Caenorhabditis elegans: one gene and its partners. The protein of the gene in region 2 purifies or fractionates together with the protein of the main gene of each other region. This does not show direct contact. Each region holds a gene or a part of one and is shown on either strand. Other genes may lie near its edges.

Evidence for each region. The genes of interacting proteins can lie anywhere in the genome.
Region 1: the proteins of alh-3 (region 2) and coq-1 fractionate together in Caenorhabditis elegans (co-fractionation; one large-scale study listed by BioGRID). This does not show direct contact.
Region 3: the proteins of alh-3 (region 2) and ran-5 fractionate together in Caenorhabditis elegans (co-fractionation; one large-scale study listed by BioGRID). This does not show direct contact.

What each region holds. Positions count from the first base shown.
Region 1 is NC_003279.8:5,410,625-5,417,973, reverse strand, and holds coq-1 (All trans-polyprenyl-diphosphate synthase PDSS1), read left to right. Parts: upstream 1-2,344; 5' UTR 2,345-2,438; coding exon 2,439-2,482; intron 2,483-2,532; coding exon 2,533-2,629; intron 2,630-2,682; coding exon 2,683-2,796; intron 2,797-2,843; coding exon 2,844-2,920; intron 2,921-3,237; coding exon 3,238-3,329; intron 3,330-3,374; coding exon 3,375-3,478; intron 3,479-3,843; coding exon 3,844-3,954; intron 3,955-4,051; coding exon 4,052-4,187; intron 4,188-4,233; coding exon 4,234-4,377; intron 4,378-4,537; coding exon 4,538-4,719; intron 4,720-4,766; coding exon 4,767-4,847; 3' UTR 4,848-5,133; downstream 5,134-7,349. Other genes in the region: erp-44.1 (Thioredoxin domain-containing protein), read left to right, coding at 1-35, 768-869.
Region 2 is NC_003282.8:11,019,309-11,028,087, forward strand, and holds alh-3 (10-formyltetrahydrofolate dehydrogenase), read left to right. Parts: upstream 1-3,294; 5' UTR 3,295-3,296; coding exon 3,297-3,423; intron 3,424-3,554; coding exon 3,555-3,786; intron 3,787-3,832; coding exon 3,833-4,019; intron 4,020-4,070; coding exon 4,071-4,676; intron 4,677-4,720; coding exon 4,721-5,447; intron 5,448-5,529; coding exon 5,530-6,121; intron 6,122-6,171; coding exon 6,172-6,427; 3' UTR 6,428-6,562; downstream 6,563-8,779. Other genes in the region: mogs-1 (Mannosyl-oligosaccharide glucosidase), read right to left, coding at 1-135, 178-408, 2,342-2,362; F13H10.8 (Small subunit of serine palmitoyltransferase), read left to right, coding at 1,217-1,312, 1,602-1,748.
Region 3 is NC_003280.10:6,045,390-6,051,902, forward strand, and holds ran-5 (RanBD1 domain-containing protein), read left to right. Parts: upstream 1-2,719; 5' UTR 2,720-2,721; coding exon 2,722-2,788; intron 2,789-2,837; coding exon 2,838-2,950; intron 2,951-2,999; coding exon 3,000-3,155; intron 3,156-3,203; coding exon 3,204-3,338; intron 3,339-3,385; coding exon 3,386-3,500; intron 3,501-3,546; coding exon 3,547-3,638; intron 3,639-3,687; coding exon 3,688-4,032; 3' UTR 4,033-4,297; downstream 4,298-6,513. Other genes in the region: R12C12.6 (Transmembrane protein 9), read right to left, coding at 1,014-1,111, 1,167-1,510, 2,084-2,223, 2,275-2,478; gldc-1 (Glycine cleavage system P protein), read left to right, coding at 5,051-5,206, 5,602-5,892, 5,940-6,466.

The DNA.
Region 1 (7,349 bases), on a different chromosome or scaffold from region 2:
TTCATCGCGAATTCCACCATGGTCCAGATCCAGTGGTAAGTGTCACTTTTTGGGAGTTTTTTGGTTTTTGAAATTTTTATGAAATTTATTGAAAAGTTAGTAAACGAATTTTTTTTTATTATCTGAACCAGACTTTTTTCTATACCACCTTTAAAAAAGTCTCTAAAAATCCTTGAAAAATGTAAAATTACAAATTTCATGAGATTTTCAGGACGGAAAATCCCTCAAATTGGGAATTTTCTATGAAAAAAAAACAAAATAAATGAAGCTTTAACTGAAAATTGAAAAAAAAACTCCGAATTATTAGAAGATTTAAAAAAAATTATGGTTGGGATGATTTTTTCTAAATATTTTTCCCAGACGCGAAATGTTGTGCTTTTTCCGTCAAAAATACGGTAAACGGGTCTCGAAACGACAAATTTTTGTCAAATGTGAAAAGGTATGCGCCTTTAAAGATTACTGTAATTTAAAATTAGTTGCTGCGGTTTTTTATTGATTTTTCTTTTTTTTTCTCGATTTGAAAAAAATTATTAAAAAATTATTGTTATATCTGATTTTTTTTTAAAATAAATTTCCTTTTCTGATCGAAAAGTCAATAAAAAATTCAAGAAAAAATAAATCTTGAAATTACAGTACTCTTTAAAGGCGCGCACCTTTTGTATTTTTCAAAAATTTGCCTTTTCGAGATTCGGTACCGTATTTTTATTGAAAAAATTGCAGTACTTATTTCCAAAGACCATATTTACAATTTTCGTAAGACATTTCAGACTGGAAATCAAGCACCGGACACTGAGCCACCACCGTCTACATTCGAGAAGTTGAAGCCTGCTTCTTCGAGATACACAATTCTTGACAAAACGGAACTTTAATTTCTTTGATTTTTCATTTTTGTTTATAACAGAGCTTTATATCACAATTGCAACATGGCCTTGTTTTGCATTTCTCTGGTGTTCTTTTTTTTTAATTTTCAGTTTTATTCGGTCAATTTTCCATTGGTTTTGGTTTTATTTCTTGGTTTCTACGAGGTCCCCCCACACACAACTATTTAATCCCCGATTTCCACAAAAAACTATACATTACTATGTTATTCCATCGGATTGTTGTTCTTTTGCCAATCAAAATCCATTTCTTTCCTATTCATCTCTCTGAAAGTTTTAGTCAATTCCTGTCTGTGATGCGCGGTTTTATTCTTCGTTTTCCCATGTCTCTATCCCTGTCTTTTTTTTGTTTTTAGATTCAATTTTATTTCAAAAATTTTTTGAATCTTAAATTCAAAAACAATCAACAATGTTAACAGAAACGAATGAATATATTTATTCTTTCTATTTCTTCAATAACCTTTTTGTTTTGGCGGTTAAATGGATTCAATCCGATTCATCTACTTGTCAAAGGTGATTGACCAAATTTTTCACAAATATTTTTATTTGTTCCTTTTGAAAATTATCTATCGATCTTCTTTATTCTCGATAAACTCGAACCAAAGAGAGAAAGAAACAAAATTTGATAAAAAATATATTCTTTTTTGCTAGAGAAAAGAGAATTCAAAGAACACTGAGATAGGGACGAAGTGCGTAAGAAAGAGAGAGCACAGAGAAAAAGAGAAGCGATCTTCGGCGGTGAAAAGGGGAAAAGTGGGAGGCTACATTCATTTTCCATCTTTCTGATCACCTTTATACAACAACTAATTTATTTTTATTTTTCCGAATAAACTGTATTCGGAGAGACTTCTGTGAATCTCTAGTTGAAAATAATGATTCTCTAATATTTAAAGTATTTAACAATATTTAAAAATGGACGTATGGTTTTCAGATAACATACTATAAATAAGAGATAAATTGGTGATATAAATGCCAATTGATGCAATAATTAGTGAAAATGGTCGAAAACTGTAAAATCTTGAGAAGTACACTGGTTGCTTGAATCAATCAGTGTATATAAAATTGAATTCAATTCAAAATTTGGCAAATAAAAAAAATATAAAAACTAGTTCCTGGTTTCTATATTTTCTTTTCTAATCCAAAAAATTATTTACCAATCTAACATTGAAAAAAAATCAGAGATATTATTAAAATAAAGTTCCTCTCAAAATTACTCCAAAATTTTCATTGGCATTTTCAAAGTGTTTAGGCTATAATAATATAATTTATTCAAAATTCTCGGTTATAACTATACTCCTTTTTACTTTTAATCACGTCAATCACATCTTTAATGCGAATTTCAATTATCAGCTGTTTCCTCTCCTGAATGGACAGTTATATCTGTTATCAATGACTCTTTTGGCATTCTCAGAAGCCTCAATTTGCATCATTCACTTTTCAAAAAACTTATCTTCATTCACTTTCAGACCTCCTAAACCCACATGAGCCGCCGGTGAAACTAGTTTTTGAGCACTGAAAGAAACAAAAACTGGTATAAAGAATCAAGAATAGAAGATAATTATGGGTGTTCTACCGAAAATCAATATTGTCGCAAGGCAGTTCAGGTAACAACTTTTGAAATTTTAAATTTCCGAAATTCAAAAAAAAATTGCAGAAAATGTTCAATGGCAGCCACATCAACATCTACATCCTCATCAGATAATAGTGTTGCTTCAACAGCTTTCGTGCAGGAACATGTTAGACAAATGCAGGTTTATAATTCACTAAATTCAATAAAAGTTTAACCAAAAAACTGAAATTTCAGAACGATATAATGGTACAACTAATACCACAGGATGAATCGGGTGCCGTTGAAAATCTAGCAGACTTGAATGTTACATCGAATTTAGGACGAATGACACATTATTATTTTCAACAGGTTTCTAAAAATATATTTTTCCAACTCATAGACATTGAAAATTTCAGGGTGGAAAAATGTTACGGCCGACTGTATCGCTTCTTATGGGAAATGCTTGTAATTCCGCAGCGAATCGTTCAATTTCGTAAGTTTATTACATGGAAAACTTTTTATATCTGAAAAAGAAGAGCAGTCTGATTTACGTAGATAGTGCACAGGAGAAAATGATTTTGCTATTTTTGGCATAACTTCATATTGATGAAAATGAAACTAATTTTAAAATATTCCTATGGTGCTGAAATGACTACATACCATGAACTTTTCAAAACAATTTTCAATTTAACTTTTCACATGTCGTAGTACAATTCTAACAGTAGTTAGTCTAATGGAGTTTGGCAGCCCGTATTGATGTTCACTAATAAAATGTTTACTGATCAAAAACGAAAAAAAGTTTTTTTGCAGAGAAGAGTACCTGGCAATGTTGTCAACAGAACGATCAGGGATCGCCGCTCATTTATCAGTATGTCAAAATCAGTACAAAATAGGAATGATTGGTAAGACTATGAATAGTCGGAAAAGAGAAATAAAGAAATTTACAGCCGAAATGATCCATACAGCGTCTCTAGTGCACGATGACGTCATTGATGAGGCGAATACAAGGCGTGGATCAGCTAGTGTCAATGCTGTTTGGGGAAATAAAATGGTAGATTTTTTGAAATTAAAACAAAATTTTAATCTTGAATATAACATATCACGATCTATAAAAAATAAAGAATTTTCAAAACAAATTGGATACTGTAATCCGACAAATTTATTCTTTTTTTGCTGAATTTTCCAAAATTTTCAGCTTTTAAAGCAGCTTTCTCTGCAAAAAAATTATTTTTAGATTTTAGAAATGTTGATTAAAACTATATTTTTTGGAGAAAAACTGTGAAAACCTGGCAAACAGAAAAATCGAAAATTTGGTCGCTCTACAGTAACCTCTTGCGCATAAATTTTTCTCTTGTAAACTTAGAAGAAGTTTTTAGGGATAAAAACTTCTAAATTTATGTTAAAAAACATTTTCAGTCAGTGCTCGTCGGAGATTTCATTCTTGCTCGTGCCACGCAGATTCTTTGCTCCATCGGAAAACCCAACATCATTTCAGTTATGGCGTCGATTATTGAAGATTTGGTTTTAGTAGGTTTTAATCAATTTATTTATTTATTTATAATGAAATTTGAATATTTATACAGCTATAAATTTTCAAATTTTCTTCTAATAAATAATATTTTAGGGTGAATTTATGCAAATGTCAACAACTCCAACAGATGCTACACCAGTAGACAGAATGAAGGCTTATATAGAAAAAACTCATCGAAAAACTGCCAGTTTGTTCGCCAGTAGTTGCCGGTCTGCTGCTATTCTTGCAGGTGGTTTTTGCATCAATTTTCTTTGCAACATATCGGCCTTTTTCAGATGGATCAGATTTGAAGCTTCATGAAATTGCGTTCGAGTACGGTCGAAATTTGGGAATCGCTTTCCAACTTGCTGACGATCTTCTTGATTTTATAGCGACTGCTGATGAAATGGGAAAACCTGTGGCCGCTGATTTGAAATTAGGTGAATGGAATTACCGATATTTCGTAAAAATTTGGCACTTCATTTTAAATGGTTTTCTGAGTGGGTCTCGCCACGAGTTTTTTTGAGAAGAAAACGAATAATATAGTTTCAAGTTTTTGCAAAAGAAGAAAAAATAATTTTCAAATTTTTTATATTTTAGGTCTCGCCACTGCTCCGGTACTATACGCTTGCGAGCAATATCCTGAGCTCAATACGATGCTTCTTCGAAAATTCAAGCATGATGGAGATGCTGAAAAAGCACGGGAAATTGTTGTAAATTCGGATGGAATGGATAAAACGCGAAGATTGATTGATTCATATTCACAAAAAGCTGTTGAAATGGTAATTTTTTAAACTGAAACATAGAAAAAAAAAATTAAACTTTTCAGGCTTCATCCCTCCCCAACCGCAATGAATCTACGGAACATTTAATCAAATTAGCCATGTCACAGTCGGATCGAAAATTCTAAATTTTTGCTGAAAAAATTGTTTCCCTTCTTGTTTTTCATATTTCTCTGTAGCTGTAGGATTGTCGTAAAACCAGTTTTTAAACCACTTTCTGGTTTCTGGCACTCTTTTGTTTTTTTTTGTTTTTTCTATGCATTTTCGTCCGTTTTTTTGTATTCCTGTAGTTCTCATTTAGTTGCCGTCTTTTTTGTTGTTTTTTTACAGTCAGTTTTTTTAAGATTCAGTCAATTTCATCAGTAGAAAATTATTGAAATTTTTAGATTTATGAAAATGAATTCCTTTTTTTTTAAATACGGTAACTTTTAGTTGTTGTCAGGGTGGCTCAGGCGAGGGAGAATGAGAATATAAGAGACACTCTGACCTCTGCGTGAAGTTGAAAATATTTTTCAGCGCATTTTTTCCCTCGTTTTCGGTCAAAGAACGCATAAAAAAGAGAGAAATTAGAGAGTTCTCATAGCAGAGAGATTTAGAACAATTCCTTTTTTGCCGCCGCCGCTCCTCTCTGTTGACCACCCAACCAACCAAAAACGGAGCACTCGCCATTAGAAATCGTTGAAAAGTGAGAGAGCTTAGATGAAACGACGCTCCGCCCGTTTTAGCCATTCTTGTGTGAAAGAAAGGCATTTTTTCTTGCTAAGAATTTTTTTTCGTTCTTATGTTTCTTCATCGCCCTAATTTTCTTGAAAATGAGTTATGCGAAAAATTCGAATTATAATTTTTTTTTCTTCAGTTTCTGCGATCTGCAAAATATTGACGGCTTCAACACAATAAATCCACAGTTCACCGTGAGTTTTGAACTTTCGAAAAAAAACCTGTCAATAAACTGAAAAATCTATTCCTCACTTTTCTAGTCATATTTCCCTTTTCTAATGAAAATTGCCTGGTATATTGCTAACTCTTCACTCTCAAAGTATTTTTTCTCGATTTCAAATCAAATTTGTTATTCTCTGTCATGCCCTTCCTCTTTTCTCTAGCTTCCACGTCTTCTACTCATCTTAAAAAGTGGCTTTGACTCTTTTGACAAAGAGTATTTGAAAAAAAAAGAGAAGGATGACCGTCAAAGGTCATTTTGAGGGACACGAAAGCGGTTAAAAGACGAAACAAAATGCGAAACGAATTGAAATACGCTCCTTTCTTTATATTGGGTTCTTGAGAGCTGAATAAAAAATATAAATGTTTTTGTGTACAGTTTTTCAAACAGAATTCGGAAATTCAAACAGAAATTGGGTTCCTAAAATTATGGAAAGCTTTCTTTCGAAAGTTAATTCTATTCTCATTCGAAAGAATCAATATTTACCGTAATATCACTTAAAGGTACACATGGAATTATTCTAATGGGTCTCGACGCGAAAGTGGTTTATGGTAGAACTTTTTTGCTTTCGAATTCGAAACAAATTTCTTTGTTCTAATCGCTTTTTTCCTTGATTTTTGTTAAGATTGTCAGTATTTTTAGAATTATATTTCAAAATTATTTTTTTTTATTCAATTCCCTCGCCAATACGTCCTTATTTTTTATTCCAATCCAGTAATTGCCTCGTTTCCCTCAACTTGCTCCCAACTCAATCCATATAATATTCTCGCAATTCCTTCTAAAGGCTTCTAAGCATTTTCATTTCCATCTGCTGTCCAGATGTTCCCCGACCCAACTCTCCCTCATTCTGCGTCTCCTCGTTCTTCACAATCTCCAGTTCAGCTTTTCGCGCCGAAATTCAAATTTTGACGGGTCAAAACGAGCAGAACAGATTCATTTTTGAAATCCTAACATTTTGTTAGCGCTCCATTTAATTTTTATGACTATATAATATAAAAAAGAAGGGTAGATAGCTTATTTTTGCGGATTATTATTTTGAAGCGAACGAGCTCCTTTTATGATGCCTGCCCCCCGCCGTCTTCTGCCCTATTTTTCATATTTTGCAATACTAAATTCCGTCAGTTTATCACTAGGTTCCCACAATCTTTTAAAAAATAATATTTACGAATTTCCTTTGGCGTCACATAGACATTTTCAAATCTACGCAATTTCCGATGACTGATTTCCTGAAAAATGTTGCGTTTTTACAGCTTTACGTAAATAGTCTAGTATTTTTTTCAAATTTCCTATTAAAAAACAAAATTGAGTTATAAAACATTGTACCACTGCAATTTGTGTTCATTTTCTCTCAATTGATAGAGATAAACATCACTTAATACCACCTGATTTCTCAATTTGTGTGTGTAAACAACTGAGAAAAGAGAAACCCGCCTAGCTGTAGGGCAATAAAAATAAAAAAAAGTCATTTGCCTCAGTAGCCGACACTTATTTTTGCTGTTGCAATGAAAACTTTCAATGTCAGATCCAATTTAAGATTGTTTTGTCTTCTCATTCAACTAATTAGTACTGATTGCTTTGAATTCCTTTATTTCTTGATTAGAATACAATTTCTAGCGTCCTTTTTCTTTTATATTTTCAAATCCATCACTAAAAACAGATCTTTTAAATCTATTTCAATATCCCTAAGCTCATG
Region 2 (8,779 bases):
CCAATGCCTGATATGAGGTCTCTGAATTGTATTTGGTTGTTCGTACCACATCATTCCAAAAAGTGGGGACATTGGTGATCGAGTCCGTAATCCGAAATACATGTGTGGACGATAAGTTCCCCAGGTGTACGGAGCCTGAAAATACTAATAACAAATAGTAAGTTCACACTAACTTACATTTTCTGGATCAATGTTTGGCAAGGGAGCGACTTTTTCAAGATTTGGGTAGAGATATAGATGAAGAAGAATAAAACATCCAGCACCCAGCATGACCAGTAGAATTAGGATTAAATCCCAAGAGCAAAATGAGCACCATGGTTCTGGCTCAGCGACAGGCTCGTATCGTATAGTTGCTGATGGCCTTTCGACTTCTCTCGGCGGTCGTCGTCGTCTTGATGGTTGGTGCATCTGCAGAATAAAAAAATTATGTTTTTTCTGACACGGAATAAAAAAAAAAGAACAACAAATTGAATTCATTGTTTATACGAATTTCACAAATATTTGTCTGATAAGTTATCAATAGGGCATATTTTCTTTAATTTACTTGGTTTTGCTTACTTTTCACACAGATCTGATTAAAAATTTGTAACCTGATGAACAACATTCTGTTTAAACAAAATGTGATATTCTGTGCCGCTGACACAACACTAGGAGAGAGTACAACGTGGAACAATCTACTTAAACTTCACATAAATTGCCACCGGATTCGCGCAACTCAGAAAAAGTTTCGAAGATTGGATTTTACAAAAAAAAACACTTTAAAAAACGAACATATTAATTTTTAACAGAAAAAAAAACAAAAAAGGCTGATTTTAAATTAATTCTCAAGGGCAGTGCGGTAGAGCGCACATGCTGCTTTCAGTTTTTGTTTATTTTTCGCACCTTTTCTTTTCACGTTTTGTTTGTTTTCGGCGCTTTTTGAGTTATTATTTGCTGAAAGTTCGAGTAATCAAATCGAAAACTATTTTTTGATCCTAGATTTTAGTCGTACTTTAAACTTTTCCGGATACTTTTCGTGTTTTCAATGCATTTCCTGTGTAATCGATGCAACTGTAGAATTTTGTCATTTTCTTATCATTTTTCGCCTGATAGATGGCACCATTTGACGGTGTGTCATCTGCAATCACTGCGAATGTTATACTTTGTTTCCGTTGCTGTCTGCGCGGCAGTTATCGACTTTTTTGACACCAATTCTTGTTTTATTTCAGGTTAAACCATGTCTACGACGGCTACAGCAACCACCACCACAACAAAAGCATTCGAAAATGACTATGGGGATTTCAGCCAGTTCAACAAGGCAAAAACTGTAAAGGTAATTCAATTTTTATATTAATTAACAAATAATTATTTTGTATCTCAATTTTAATTTTGTAATACTAATAAATTATGTAACATAAACTATACAAATACAATTTGTCGTTAATATTTAAAATCAAGTGATTTGACTTAAATGTATTCCATTATTTTCTGTTAAGTTAATTTTAACCCTCTGAAGTCTCTACCGAAAAGGTGATCAGCTATTTTGTGTTTTTTTAATGCTGATTCATTTTTGCTGAGATTTTTTTTTGCTTTAACCTTCCTCTCAATGTAATTATTTCCAGCAAACGTTCGCCGAGCACGTCTATCTTCAATATCTACTAGTCTCTGGAATCTACATGCTTGAGCCTTGGGAGCAGCGTCTCTTCAACTGGGTTATCATCTTTGTGCTCACAACATTCATTTCCCTAATCACCTTCTTTGTCGTCTAATCACTCTTTTTTCTCTCAATGTGTTCTGTTTCCATGTCAACTCCTTTTACTATTTCTGAATACTCAACGTTTTCTGTGAATTTACTTTTCATTCTTCGATTTGTTGAAGATGAATTTAAACGCGGTTATTCTGTATATATCATCTTGCCTCCTCGTTCTCTCAAATAATGGTATTTATCGATTTTCTGTAGTTAAATATTAAACATAACGATGTTGCGTTATCACAAAAGCTTACATGTGTATAGTATAATGACACTGCTGTTGGAAGTGTCATTCAATTATGAACTTCTTTCGACGCTAAATTTTTATACAATTTTTTACAACTAAATACTTTTGGCGAGTTACGAAAATTCTAGATCTTAAATAAAACAAGAACATGCAATTTTGCCTCACAAAACAGCAACAAATTTCGACGACAGTTGGTGAATTTGTTTCTTTCCTGATTTTCTGAACTTTTTGACTCGTTTTTCTTTGATGTTCGATAAGAATGCAACATCAAAGAGTAATTTTCAAATTGCACGAGGTAGAAATCATCGAATTAACCAATTTCATTCCTTTTAAAACGTGATTCTCCAAAAATGTACCAATTTTACCTCTTCATGTTCCCTGTGCATCTAATCTTTGCCGCACGCGAAAAAAAACGCTTTCTGATGTCGTAAACAGTTCGGATGTGGTCAGAATCGCCCATCGAATAATGTTCCTATTGCCACGTGATAACATCATTTCGGCTGAGTGGCGAGAAGTCGAAGATAACAGAAACAGAACGCGTTGTTTATCGGTCATCTCTTCGTTGGCGATCGCAACGCAAAATGGATTTATTTTCAATTGTTTGTCACTGCTTATTTCTAAAGGTTTTAGGTTTTCAATCACCTGAAAACAAAAACTTATTCTATTTTCTATAATTTAAAAAAACTGGTAGAATTTCAAAAAATTAGCAGAAATCCTACGATTTAAAAAAGAGGGGCGCATTTATGCGGAATGGTCTCGCCACGCGTTGCAAATGAATTCAAAAAATGTTGTGTGCGCCTTTAGGATTACTGTAGAGATTTTGCTTCATCGACTTTTCTTGTTTTCTCCATTTTCCTCGTTTTCGAAACATTTATATAGCCTAAAGAACATGAATAGGATACAAAAAATTCAGAAAATGGGTAAAGAAATAGACAAAGACAGCATTCAAAGAATTTTCTGCATTTTATGTGTTCAATTTATGTTTATCACGCAAAATGAACGTTTCGAAAAAGAAAAAACACAGTATATTTACTGAATTGATAAATACAGTTTTTCTTCATACTTTTAAATTTAAAGTTATGGCTCCACGAATTCATAAATTCTAACTGAAATTCATGTTCTGAATAAACCCCCGATATTTAGTTATCTCAAACATTCATAATTAGACCTTTGAACCGTGTTTCTTCTTCTCATCTTGTGAAAAGGTGTGACAGAAAAGCTGGTCAGTCTAGTTTTGTTCATTAATTTTCATTTCCTCGTACGCTCGCACTTCCTTTTCAATATTCATTTCCTATTTTTCAAGTACATTTATTTTCAGCCATGAAAATTGCAATCATTGGTCAGTCGGCATTTGGTGTCGATGTTTACAAGGAGTTACGCAAGAATGGACACGAGATTGTTGTAGTCTTCACTATCCCAGATAAAAATGGAAGAGAAGATCTATTGGGTACGTTTAAAAATAGTTTTATCACACTACTTTCATTTTTGCTGTGGTCTGATTTTTGAACCCAATTCTCTACGAACCACAACTCGTGATCACTTTTAAAAAACATTATAATTTTTGCAATTCGTTTACAGCCGTCGAGGCTGCCAAAGATGGTGTCCCAGTTCAAAAACCATCTCGTTGGCGTAAGAAGAACCCTGAAACTGGAAAATTCGAAACTCTTCCGGAAATGCTTGAACTTTACAAATCGTTTGGAGCTGAACTCAACGTTTTGCCATTCTGCACTCAATTCATCCCACTAGAAATCACTGAAGCGCCGGCTAAGAAGAGCATTATCTATCATCCAAGTATTCTACCAAAGCACAGGTTTTCAGCTGAAAATGTTAATTTACTATAAATTTCAATTTTTCAGGGGAGCTTCTGCCATCAATTGGACTCTTATTGAAGGTGATGAGGAAGCTGGATTATCGATCTTCTGGGCTGATGATGGTCTTGATACTGGACCAATTTTGTTGCAAAAGAAATGCAAAGTTGAAGAGAATGATACATTGAACACTTTATATAAAAGATTCCTGTATCCAGCTGGAGTAGCTGCTGTTGTAAGTCTAGGAGTTGTACAATTCGGAGTATAATTAAATCTAAATTTTTAGGCAGAATCAGTAGAACTCATTGCTACTGGAAAAGCTCCAAGAATTGTACAGCCAGAAGAGGGAGCATCTTATGAACCATATATTACCACAAAACCAGAATTGGCTCAAATAGATTGGTCGAAGACTCAGCGTCAACTTCATAATTTTATTCGTGGAAATGACAAAGTTCCTGGAGCATGGGCTGTTTTGAACGGAGAAAAAGTTTCATTTTTCGGTTCAAAGTTGTGGAAGCCAAAGAAGCTTCCAGATGATGCTGTAGAAGTTTTCGTTTCAGAAGTTCCAGGAGGAAAAGTTTTAGTTGAAGATCGTGGATTGCTCCTTCCAGGATCAGACGGTAGATGGGTTATTGTAGATACAGTGAAGATTGGTACAAAAACTGTCCCAGCTTCTAAATATGGACAGGGAGCTGATCAAGTTCAAGAACTTGTATTAACCGACGAAGAAAAGAGTACTGTAGCTAAGCTGAAGAAAATTTGGACCGGAATTCTGAAGACTCAAGTTTCAAGTGACACTGATTTCTTCGAAAGTGGTGCAAGTTCTGCTGATGTTACTCGTCTTGTGGAGGAGATCAAGTTCAATACTGGAGCTGAGCTTGAATCAGGACAAGTGAGCTTTTATGAAAGTATTCTAAAAATTCAAATGTGTTACAGATCTATGCCGGGCCAACTCTTGGTGAAAACATCGACATTGTGATCCGTAATCTTCGTGGTGAAGGTGGAATCTCTGTAACTTACGATCCAATTGTATTGAATGTTAACAATATGGAATTGAAATTCCCACATGACCAATTCATTGATGGAAAATTTGTTGGTTCATCAGATGGACGCACTTTTAAAACAATTAACCCAGCAACTGAAAAGCCAATTTGTGAACTTCCTTTGGCTACTGTAGCTGATGTCGATCGTGCTGTTCGTGCAGCAAAGAAAGCTTTTGAACGTGGAGAATGGCGTCAAATGTCTGCCCGTGAACGTGGAAAGAGACTTTACAAACTCGCTGAACTCATGGAAGAACACAAAGAAGAGCTCGCAACACTAGAGTCCCTAGATGCTGGAGCAGTATATACGTTGGCTCTAAAGACTCACGTTGGAATGTCTATTGATGTGTGGAGATACTTTGCTGGATGGTGTGATAAGATTCAAGGAAAAACTATTCCAATTTCTAATGCTCGTCCAAATAAGAATCTATGTTTGACACTTCGTGAACCAATTGGAGTTGTTGGACTCATTACTCCATGGAATTATCCATTAATGATGTTATCGTGGAAGATGGCTGCTTGCCTTGCTGCGGGTAACACAGTTGTTCACAAACCAGCTCAAGTAACTCCACTCACAGCTCTTAAATTTGCTGAGCTATCTGTTCTTGCTGGAATCCCACCTGGCAAGTTTTTTTTCAAGTGAATTGTAATTTGTTTTCATATCGAATAAATTTTCAGCAAAAATTAAATTAATTGAAATTTCAGGTGTTATCAATATTGTAACTGGATCTGGATCCCTTGTTGGTAATCGTCTTACTGCTCATCCAGATGTTCGAAAGATTGGATTCACTGGTTCCACTGAAATTGGAGCAACTGTCATGGAATCTTGTGCCAAATCGAATATCAAGAAGGTTTCCCTGGAACTTGGAGGCAAATCCCCACTGATAATTTTCGCAGATGCTGATCTAGAAAAAGCTGTGAAACAAGCGTGTGGAGCAGTTTTCTTCAATAAAGGAGAGAACTGTATTGCTGCTGGGCGTGTTTTTATTGCAAAATCGATTCATGATGATTTCGTGAAGAAGCTTGTCGAGGAAGCTAAACAATATCAAATTGGAGATCCTCTCGATAGATCAACTGCTCACGGTCCACAGAATCATTTAGCACATCTTAATAAGCTAGTCGAGTATGTGGAGAAGGCTGTAGCTGGCGGAGCTAAAGTTGAAGTCGGTGGAAAACGTTTAGAAAGAGAAGGACTCTATTTCCCACCAACGATTCTGTCGAATATTGACGATGAAAACTTTGCTGCAAGTGAAGAATCATTCGGACCAATCATGTGTGTATCCAGTTTTGATGACGAGTAAGAATTATTTTGTATTTAGGAAAAAACTAATTGATATTCATTTCCAGTGACATCGAAGATGTACTCCGTAGAGCCAATGACACAGAATTCGGACTTGCTGCTGGAGTTTTTACCCGTGACTCGTCGAAATCACTTCGTGTTGCTGAAGCTCTTCACGCTGGAACAGTCTTCGTTAATACTTATCAGAAAACTGATGTGGCAGCTCCATTCGGTGGATTCAAGCAATCTGGATTCGGAAAAGATATGGGAGAAGAAGCTTTGAATGAATATCTGGTTACCAAAACAATTACCATTGAGTATTAATTGAGTGATGCCTTTTCTGTGAATAATTAGTTTGTAGTTTTCTTTTTAATATTACTTGAGGGATTTATTTTTAATTTGTGATATGATTTTATTTGCATGTGATATTCCTACTTTTCTATAAAAATTAATGTATTCTTCCAAGTATTACTAAACGCATGTCAGAAGTTTGAAAAGTGAAGTTCTGCATGAAGAATTGAAAACTAAAATTGCAATAATAATATTAGGAATTAATTCTGAACCACCCACGCGCAAAGATTTTGTTTGCTCCCAGAGCCCCAGCTTCATGACCCTACTCGCCGTGCACCTGTACCTGCTTCCATGTTCACTTTTTGACCAGTAACATGGATAGGAGCTACGGGTAGACGGACTTTTCGGACAAGTGAGCAGGCAAATGTTGGTGACACAAAAGTGCACCGGTGGTGTCGAACCTGGGAGTATAAGAATGAAAGGCCCGCACACAACCGAGTACACCATGAGTGCCACCATTGAAGATAGGGTGAAGGGTGTATTAGTGTGCGCGGACGTTCGTCCGTCCCCTTTCCGCGCGTATAATTTTCGAGGGGTCCTCGATTAGTAATAACTCGCATAATGGCCATTTGGTTGCCCGTGGTGTTAGGACGCGATTGGCAACGAACCAACTAACGACGGCACATATCGGGTGGTTAAGAGACACAGACACTTCTTTTCTCTAGATTCACTGCGGTTGAGTTTTTATGAAACGGATGATGCGAAATATTTCTTCAAACTTTCTTCAACTTTCTTCAAACTTTCTTCAAACGGAGGATTATATGAAAATGGAAATTGTAAAATCCTTTTAAAATTAAATGAAAAAACCAAAAACTGACCAAATGTGAAATATGGTGCAAATTGAAAATGTTCGACTTCACACTCCAGAATAAAGGGTTTTGCTTGAATTTACATAGAACAAAAGCATGTAAAATATTCCAAATTTAGTAAGATACATATGGCGATTTGTCAAATCAACCTGACAGTACGACACCGATTGGAAACAAAAGACTTGAGCTTCAAATGAATAGTTATATGGAAATACATTCGCCCAGTAACCTCATTCTAGAATATTCTATCAACAATTTGGTCGTCAAATAGGATGTATGCGGAATATGAGTCTGCACTCTATGATGTCCTTCAAAACAACATAATTTACGCCATGGAGGCTCTTCAGTGTAGTTATAATGTCTTGGATCACAAAATGAATATTGAACTAACTCTAAGTTGTATATAAAACTCAAAATAAATAAATACCCAACCCAACTTTTATTCTCAAATGATATCAAATTTGGTTGTGATAAAGTTAAAAGTCGCTGAAAAACCGAATAACTGACCAATTTTGATGCATCTCTATGCTTTTGTAAACTAGTGAAATGTTTGCAGATTAATGTTATCCTATTTGGGAAACGATATATAATTCTAAAAAGCATTGCTTGATAATTTTCAGAATTAGAAGTGGTCCAAAACATACGGTTGTGAAAGGAAAGAAAAGCTTTCAGTGCCTTTTCAAAACCGAAGTTAAATAACGTTCTTTTGAAATTTTCTATTTGTATTCGAGAAAATATTACAAAAACAACAATCCCGAATGTGTTCCTTCTTTCGCTTAAATTCAATGAGAAATAAGACACGAAAATTCTATAACAACGGTGAAGCCGTTTTATTCAAATTGTTCATATTCTTCATGGAAACGATTTCCTCAGAATCTACCAGTCAATCTCAACGTATATTTCAATCTCAACGTTAAATTGTTTGAGTGATTTTTTAATTTACATGTTTTCTTTTTCAAAAATATTGTCAACCTCTAAAATTTTTAATTTTATTCTTTACAATTTCCTGGAAAACTGAAAAAAATTCCGACTACAATGACTGGCGACCCATATATTGTGCCGTGATTGAGCTTTGAAGTCAAGCACGGAAACAAATGTACGGGTGGACTGTCAGAATCGGGAGAAATTTATAATAATAGAGAGAGAGAGAGAGATAGGAATAATGTAGAGTAACGAGACGAATGATGTCGAGTTGTCCACAACTGCAAACCAAGAGGACGATGAGAAACCGAGACAGCCGTAGGAACATTCTCGACGAACGGAACGAGAGAGCAATGTAGACAAAGATACGCAGAGAATGCCGTTGACCGTCAATGAGAGACTGGCTCTAACTGAAGAGACGTAGATGTGTTGATCCTATTGAGGGGCAGTAGGGATCATGAATGTTAAATATGGAGTATGGAACTGAACCGAGGGACTATCATCAATAAGATTTGACTGGCATAATTAGAATCAAATCTCAATATATCTAGAACAATCCTAATAATCCTAGATGTTAAGTTGTGGAGGGACAACT
Region 3 (6,513 bases), on a different chromosome or scaffold from region 2:
CTTGTTTTTATGAGAGTGAAATGAAAGTAAATAACAAAGAAACGGTGAGATAATTTTTTCGCAAAAATAATTTTAAATCAGCTTACTGTAATTCCCGATTTTACGCGTTTTGAAAGAGGGGCATTTATGCGAAATGGTCTCGGCACGCGCACCAAATAAAATGTAAAAGTCAACAAATAAATGGGTGCGCCGTTAAATAAGATTACTGTAGAGATTTCTTCCTTACATTTAAATTGATTTTTACTTTTTTTTCCCAATTGTTTTGCATTTAATATATTCGATTTGTGTTTGCATATCAGACACAATAAATGCTGAACATAAAGAAAATGAAAAAATCAAAGAAAATAATCAATATCTCTACAGTAATCTTAAATGCGCGCACGCAAAATGTTTCAACTTGATTCGATTCCGAGACCATTATGCACTAATGCGCTCTCCTTTAAACACAGGAAAGTGTAAAATAAAATACGTTGAGCATATTCGAACTGATTTCTAAGTGGAAAAATAGTTTCGTAACTTCAGGGTTACTCATCGGAGACCAGAAACAACGACATTATGCTAATTCCGAAAAATGCCCTTCAAACTGTAGAATGTTCTTTGGCTAATTTTTGAGTCATAATTTTACGAGATTTATAAGTTTTCAGGTGTATGGTTTTTTTTTTTAATTTATTCGCTGTTTTTCGACAAGGTGATCTGAAAATTGAAAAAAAAAAGAAAACGAAAAGAGGGAAAATGTGGGCACTTGCCGAGAATCTCCTCATCTCTCTCACTTCTTCCGCCGCGGCGGGTCGCTCACAACAAACAGCGAGTCAGGGACATAAGAAAGAGATTAGAGACGCAGACGTCACTATTTCGCTTTGACCCCTCCGTTATTTAACTGTCATTGTTTAACAGGTAATGAGAAAAGTGTTTATGAAGGTGAAAAATTGTTGGCAAAGTATTTGACAAAAATATACATCATACGGTTTTAATAAATTATGAATGATTTTTAAACCCTTTTGATTGAAAAGTAACTAGTTGAGCATTGTATGATCTTCGAAGATATTCCTTCGTTGCTCCTCGACCTTCTTCATCCAACGATTCTGTTCGGCCTCGACGCGTCCGAGAACATCTGAAGAAAATACTTTTTTAGTAAAAACTATAAAATCTTCAAATGGAGCACTTACTACTTCTCGCACGTGTGGTTCCTTGTGTATCCATTGAATTACTTGCTGAAGATGATTCATCGTCAGTTGATGGAGCAGCAGCAAAGATATTATCCTCCATTTCATCATTATGTTGTTGATAACTGATCGATAATCGTTTCTTCCGGAGCATTGGATCCAGGCACATAAGGAATACCATGTATCCCGTTAAAACAGCGATCACACAGATTACAAATATTACAACTACTTTTAAGAGCACAGTGTTTCGTGACTCATAACGGCAGTCGCAATTTGCAAGAAATGCATCCATATGGGTCTCGTCAACGAAGTTACTGACTTGATCTTTCACAATGTTGCTTGGCTTGCTGAAATGTTTGAAAAATTATATTTCTTTGTCGAATTTAAGGTTTATTTGTGTAAATGATGAATTTGAGCTGTTGAAAAAAATTAAAAAAATAAGTGTTGAAAATGTTTTAAAACTGATCAACATGTTTTTTTGATGAAATGGAAGGAAAATAAAGACTTAGAAATTCGAGATTTCATGGTTATGATTTATTTTTATTCGAATTTTTACAACGATGTAGATTCTCAGCAATAGAAAATAAAAATAATTGTTTTTCTAAATCATATTTGTGGTTTTCTGAAAGAGAAAAAATTAAAACTGTGACTAAAGTTCCCACAAAAATTTCTCAAATTTTAACGTTTATAAAACAGTCGGAAACGTTCAAATTTCGATGAAAAAAAGAAATTCAAATTTGCAATTGCTTTGAGCGAAATAATACCATAAAGGTGGGAGAATTTCATAACTCTGCCAAGTTATTTTTGATGTGGATTTTTAGCAAAAAATATCAGAGTGACTAGGAGATATTTACATATTCGGATTTGATATTTTATATTTTCTATTAAAACAATTCAGATTTAAAATTAAAAAAACTCACCAATGGCTCGGTTCGATGTTAGTTTTTGTATAAAATCGTCTCCTCAATCCTTCTGTTTTTTCAGTTGTATTTTCAGCCAAGTCGAGAAATTTTAAAAGACTCGGACAAATGCATCGACATCGTGTATCTTCGAAGTTAGCCTGAAAATATTTATTAAATTATATCTTTATAAAAGTAGTTATGAAACAAACCTCAGTCCCTGCTTGGGATAATGCGGGAAGAAACAGTAAAGCAATAAATAAATATATCATTAAATCTGAAAAAATTACGGAAGTTGGACTGTATTTTTTTTTATTTTTGCAAGAAAATAAAAAATGCTCTGAAAAATAGAATACAAGTAAAACAAGAAGTGCGCCAGTGCAACTTACTGGCGCTTTTCGCGATGGCTGACGCATTCTTCGTTTCACTTTTATGATGTTCACAACGAAAATCGAAGAAATAAAAACTTGCACTTATTTTTGTCTTAAATTTCAATTTTTCTTCTGCTTGTTGAGTAATTTTTCAGTTCTCAGTCTAAATTACTTGCTAATTATCTTCATTTCAGTCTGCATGAATACTAATAATCGATTTTTCGCATTTTTTTTGCAATTTCTATCCGGTATTTGTCTTTTTTAATTCATTCGTTACTATTTTCAGTCATGTCAAAAGGTTTTGCTTTCAAACCGTCTGCTTTAGCTGCCAAGGCAGATAAACTGTGGTCAGATAGTAAGTTTTCAATTTTGTGTTATGTTATCTAAGTCACGTGAATTTGCAGGCAAAACAGAATACACAGCAACTCATTCAACAATCAACCACGTTCATTTGGAAAAGAAATCGCTGGGCGATATTATTCCGAAATCAGCAGATGCGCCTGTTGCAAATGAAAAAGTTCGTTGAAACACAATGAGTCAAAAAATTCGTTTTCTTCTAATTATAGGAAGTCGAAGAGGCTCCACAAGCATTTGTTTTTGGCTCCAAAATATCAGATCGTGTTGTGAACAAAGAAGGTGATTCAACAAAGCCGGGTGGTTCAGACGAAAAGACCATGACAGCAACTGAGCTCTTCCAAAATGCAGTTAAAAAAGATGACGATGTAATCTATATTTCGAATCAATATTTCTATTCATAATGTTAATTTCAGAAAAATGGAGCCAAAAACTTCAGAAAGGAAGCTGAACAAGAAGCGGAGAGAGCAAAGGAAGCCGAAAAGCAGCATGCCGGAACGAGTTCAGTCGAAATCACCACCGGGGAAGAGAACGATACTAATATTTTCCAAGTGAGGCAGTATTCATTAAAACATAATTTTTATTTATTTGTCTTTAGGCTCCTTGCAAAATTTGGGCGTTTGATAAATTGAAAAATGCCTACTCTGAAAAGGGTGTCTGCAATCTCAGGATCAACAAACGAGTCGAGAACGGACTGACGCACCACCGAATTGGTAAATACTGATAGTTAGAGTTTATTGTATTCAAAATTATTTTCAGTGGCAAGAACATCTTCCGGTACTCTTCGTGTCATCATAAATTCCAAAATTTTCTCTGATATGCTTTTGGAGCGGGTCGACAAGAGAATTCGAGTGAGCTTTAATGTTATATGAATATATGTTTTATTGTTACTGTTTACAGATTTCCGCAATGGGACCAGAGATCAGCGGTGTTCAGATTTTCCTTCTAAAAATCGGATTCACCAAAACTGAGACGATCCCCGATTCGGATATATTCTACAATATTATGAGCGACCTGCTGAAATTGGAGAAGGGAGAGAATAGTCGGAAGAGGAAAGCGGATTGTGATCTGAACGCTTCAACTGTTAAAATCAAGGATGGAAAGGAAGAAGAAGAAGGTGATCAAGATCAAGTTGATGAAGGATTTGTCATTGTAAACAAGCCAACAGAAGATGAGGTGAAAGAAGAAAAACCAGCTGTTACAGCTGCCGAAGAATCTGCATCCAGCTCAACTCCTTCCGAATAACCATATCAGTCATTGCTTCTTTCAACTTCCCCTGTGCTCTTTTTTCTCCTTCCAATCCCCACAAAAATGGTCTCCAACTTTCACCCAACTCAAATCATTTCCCCTTAAGTCTAATTTCTTTATTGCTAAAAATTTCTTCTAGATTTCTACCAATCTGGCCTAACTTTCCAATTTCGTTTTATTCTTATATATCCCGTTTTATGTGTTTGTCGAATATATTTGGTTTGTGAAAAAGAGAAGAGTTTGCAATAAAAAGCAGAAATACAATCAAGAAGACACTTAGACAATGGCGTTTCGGTTATCAGTGGCGCTCTTACTGAAGGAGGAGGAGAGCGAGATAACGATCGTTGTGGGGTGATCGATTCAGAATTCAATTGGCAACACCATGATCATTTATCACCTTGTCAATTCTGTAGCATTGTTTCAGTAGGAGAAGATTTTTTTGTAGTTAAATATCAATTTTGAGTATAACAAACGCGATTTTTGCACCTAAAATACGGTAGCCGGTCTCGTCACGACAATTTTTAATACTTAAAAAAAAATTGTATCAATTTATTTATAAACTCTAAAATAACACCGAAACACTTCAATTTTTATAAATCTAGAGGAAAAATCGATTCCGCATCAATGAGAGTTTGAAGTTACAGTACTCCTTAAAGGTGCACACACCTTCTTGCATTTAATAAAAAGTTGTCGCGTTGAGACCCGGTACCGGTTTTTTGGCGTCTTTGTAATAAACCCCTTTGAATTTAGTTTTGAAGTTTAAACTTTGAAGTTCAAAGTTTGAAATTATCCCATAATATCTAACCACGCGTCGGGCGTTTAATATCATAAAATCAAAAGTCGAATTTTTTTTATCTTATCAACAATTGGAGTACACGTGTACCCACGATATTTCTCGATTTGTACTATTTTAAATATTTTTTCTCGGAATAAATTCTCTTTGCCTGCCATTTCTACATTCTTGTTTCATTTCATTTTACTACTCGTGAATCTAGAACCTTCACTCATCTCCAAAATGGTTCTCCTTGGACGAGGATTACTTGCCGTCGGGCGTGTTGCTTTTCGACGTCCGATGATTGTACGACACCTTCAATATGATGCTTTTGTTGATAGACATATTGGACCAAGACGATTGGAGCAGCAACAAATGCTCGATTTTATTGGATACAAAGTTCGTGGCTTGATTTTCCATTACTAATGGTATACACAGTTATTACGCAGCTGCAGAAGTTTACGATTTTTTACGCTGACATACGGTCTCGTCACGATCGGAAGTTTTTCTACCGTATCCGCGAGTATTTCGCAATTTTATAATGATCCGAATATTTTCAGGTTTTTGATTGAAAACACGTTAAAATCGAGCAAAACTTTAATTACTTCAGAAAAACTTTGCTAAATACTTTTTGATACGGTAGCTAAAAAGTTTCGACCATGTCGAGACCGGGGACCATATGTCCCGCAAAAATAATTTGCGATGTTGGCATTGTATCTCCTATTTTGTTTAATGCATTTTCTGAAGTTAGAAACGCCTGAGAATTCTGTCTCATAATAACCTTGAAATTACAGGATCTAGATGATCTCACCGGAACCAATGTGCCAAATATGATCAAAGCAGAGAAGGCTCTAGAGCTTCCAGCACCACTTGACGAATACAAGATGCTCAAAGAGTTGGAAGCAATTGCAGCACAGAACAAGATTTATAGATCTTATATTGGAATGGGATATTATGATACAATTGTGCCAGCTGTCATTTCTCGTAATATCCTTCAAAATATTGGATGGATCTCCCAGTATACTCCATACCAAGCAGAAATCTCACAGGGAAGACTTGAGTCTCTTTTAAACTTCCAGACTATGGTAAGGCATGGTTTGATGCCTATGAGTCTAATATATTATGTTTGAAGATTGCTGAAATGACTGGTCTCCCAACAACCAATGCATCTCTTTTGGATGAAGCCACAGCTTCTGCAGAAGCAGTTGCACTGGCTGCTAGAACTACAAAGAGAAACAAAATTGTCGTTGACTCATTCTGTCATCCACAAAATCTTGATGTAATCAGAACTCGTAGTGGACCACTTGGAATAGATATTGAAGTTTCTGATTCAATTGAAGGATATGCGTTTGATGATAAAGTAGCTGCTGTAGTTGTTCAATATCCGAATACTGAAGGAAGAATTCATCAATTCGACGAGTTGATCGAAAGTGCTCACAAGAATAAGTCATTGGTGATAATGGTGTGCGACTTGCTCTCGTTAACGATTCTCCGATCACCAGGAGATCTTGGTGCAGATATTGCTGTTGGATCGGCTCAACGATTTGGAGTTCCATTGGGTTATGGAGGACCACACGCTGGATTTATGGCTGTCGCTAAGCATGATGCGAAGAATGCATTGGGAAGAAATATTCCAGGAAGAATCATTGGAGTTACTAAGTAAGTGGTAACCAATTTCTGGGATCAACCTATCACCAAGACTTCAC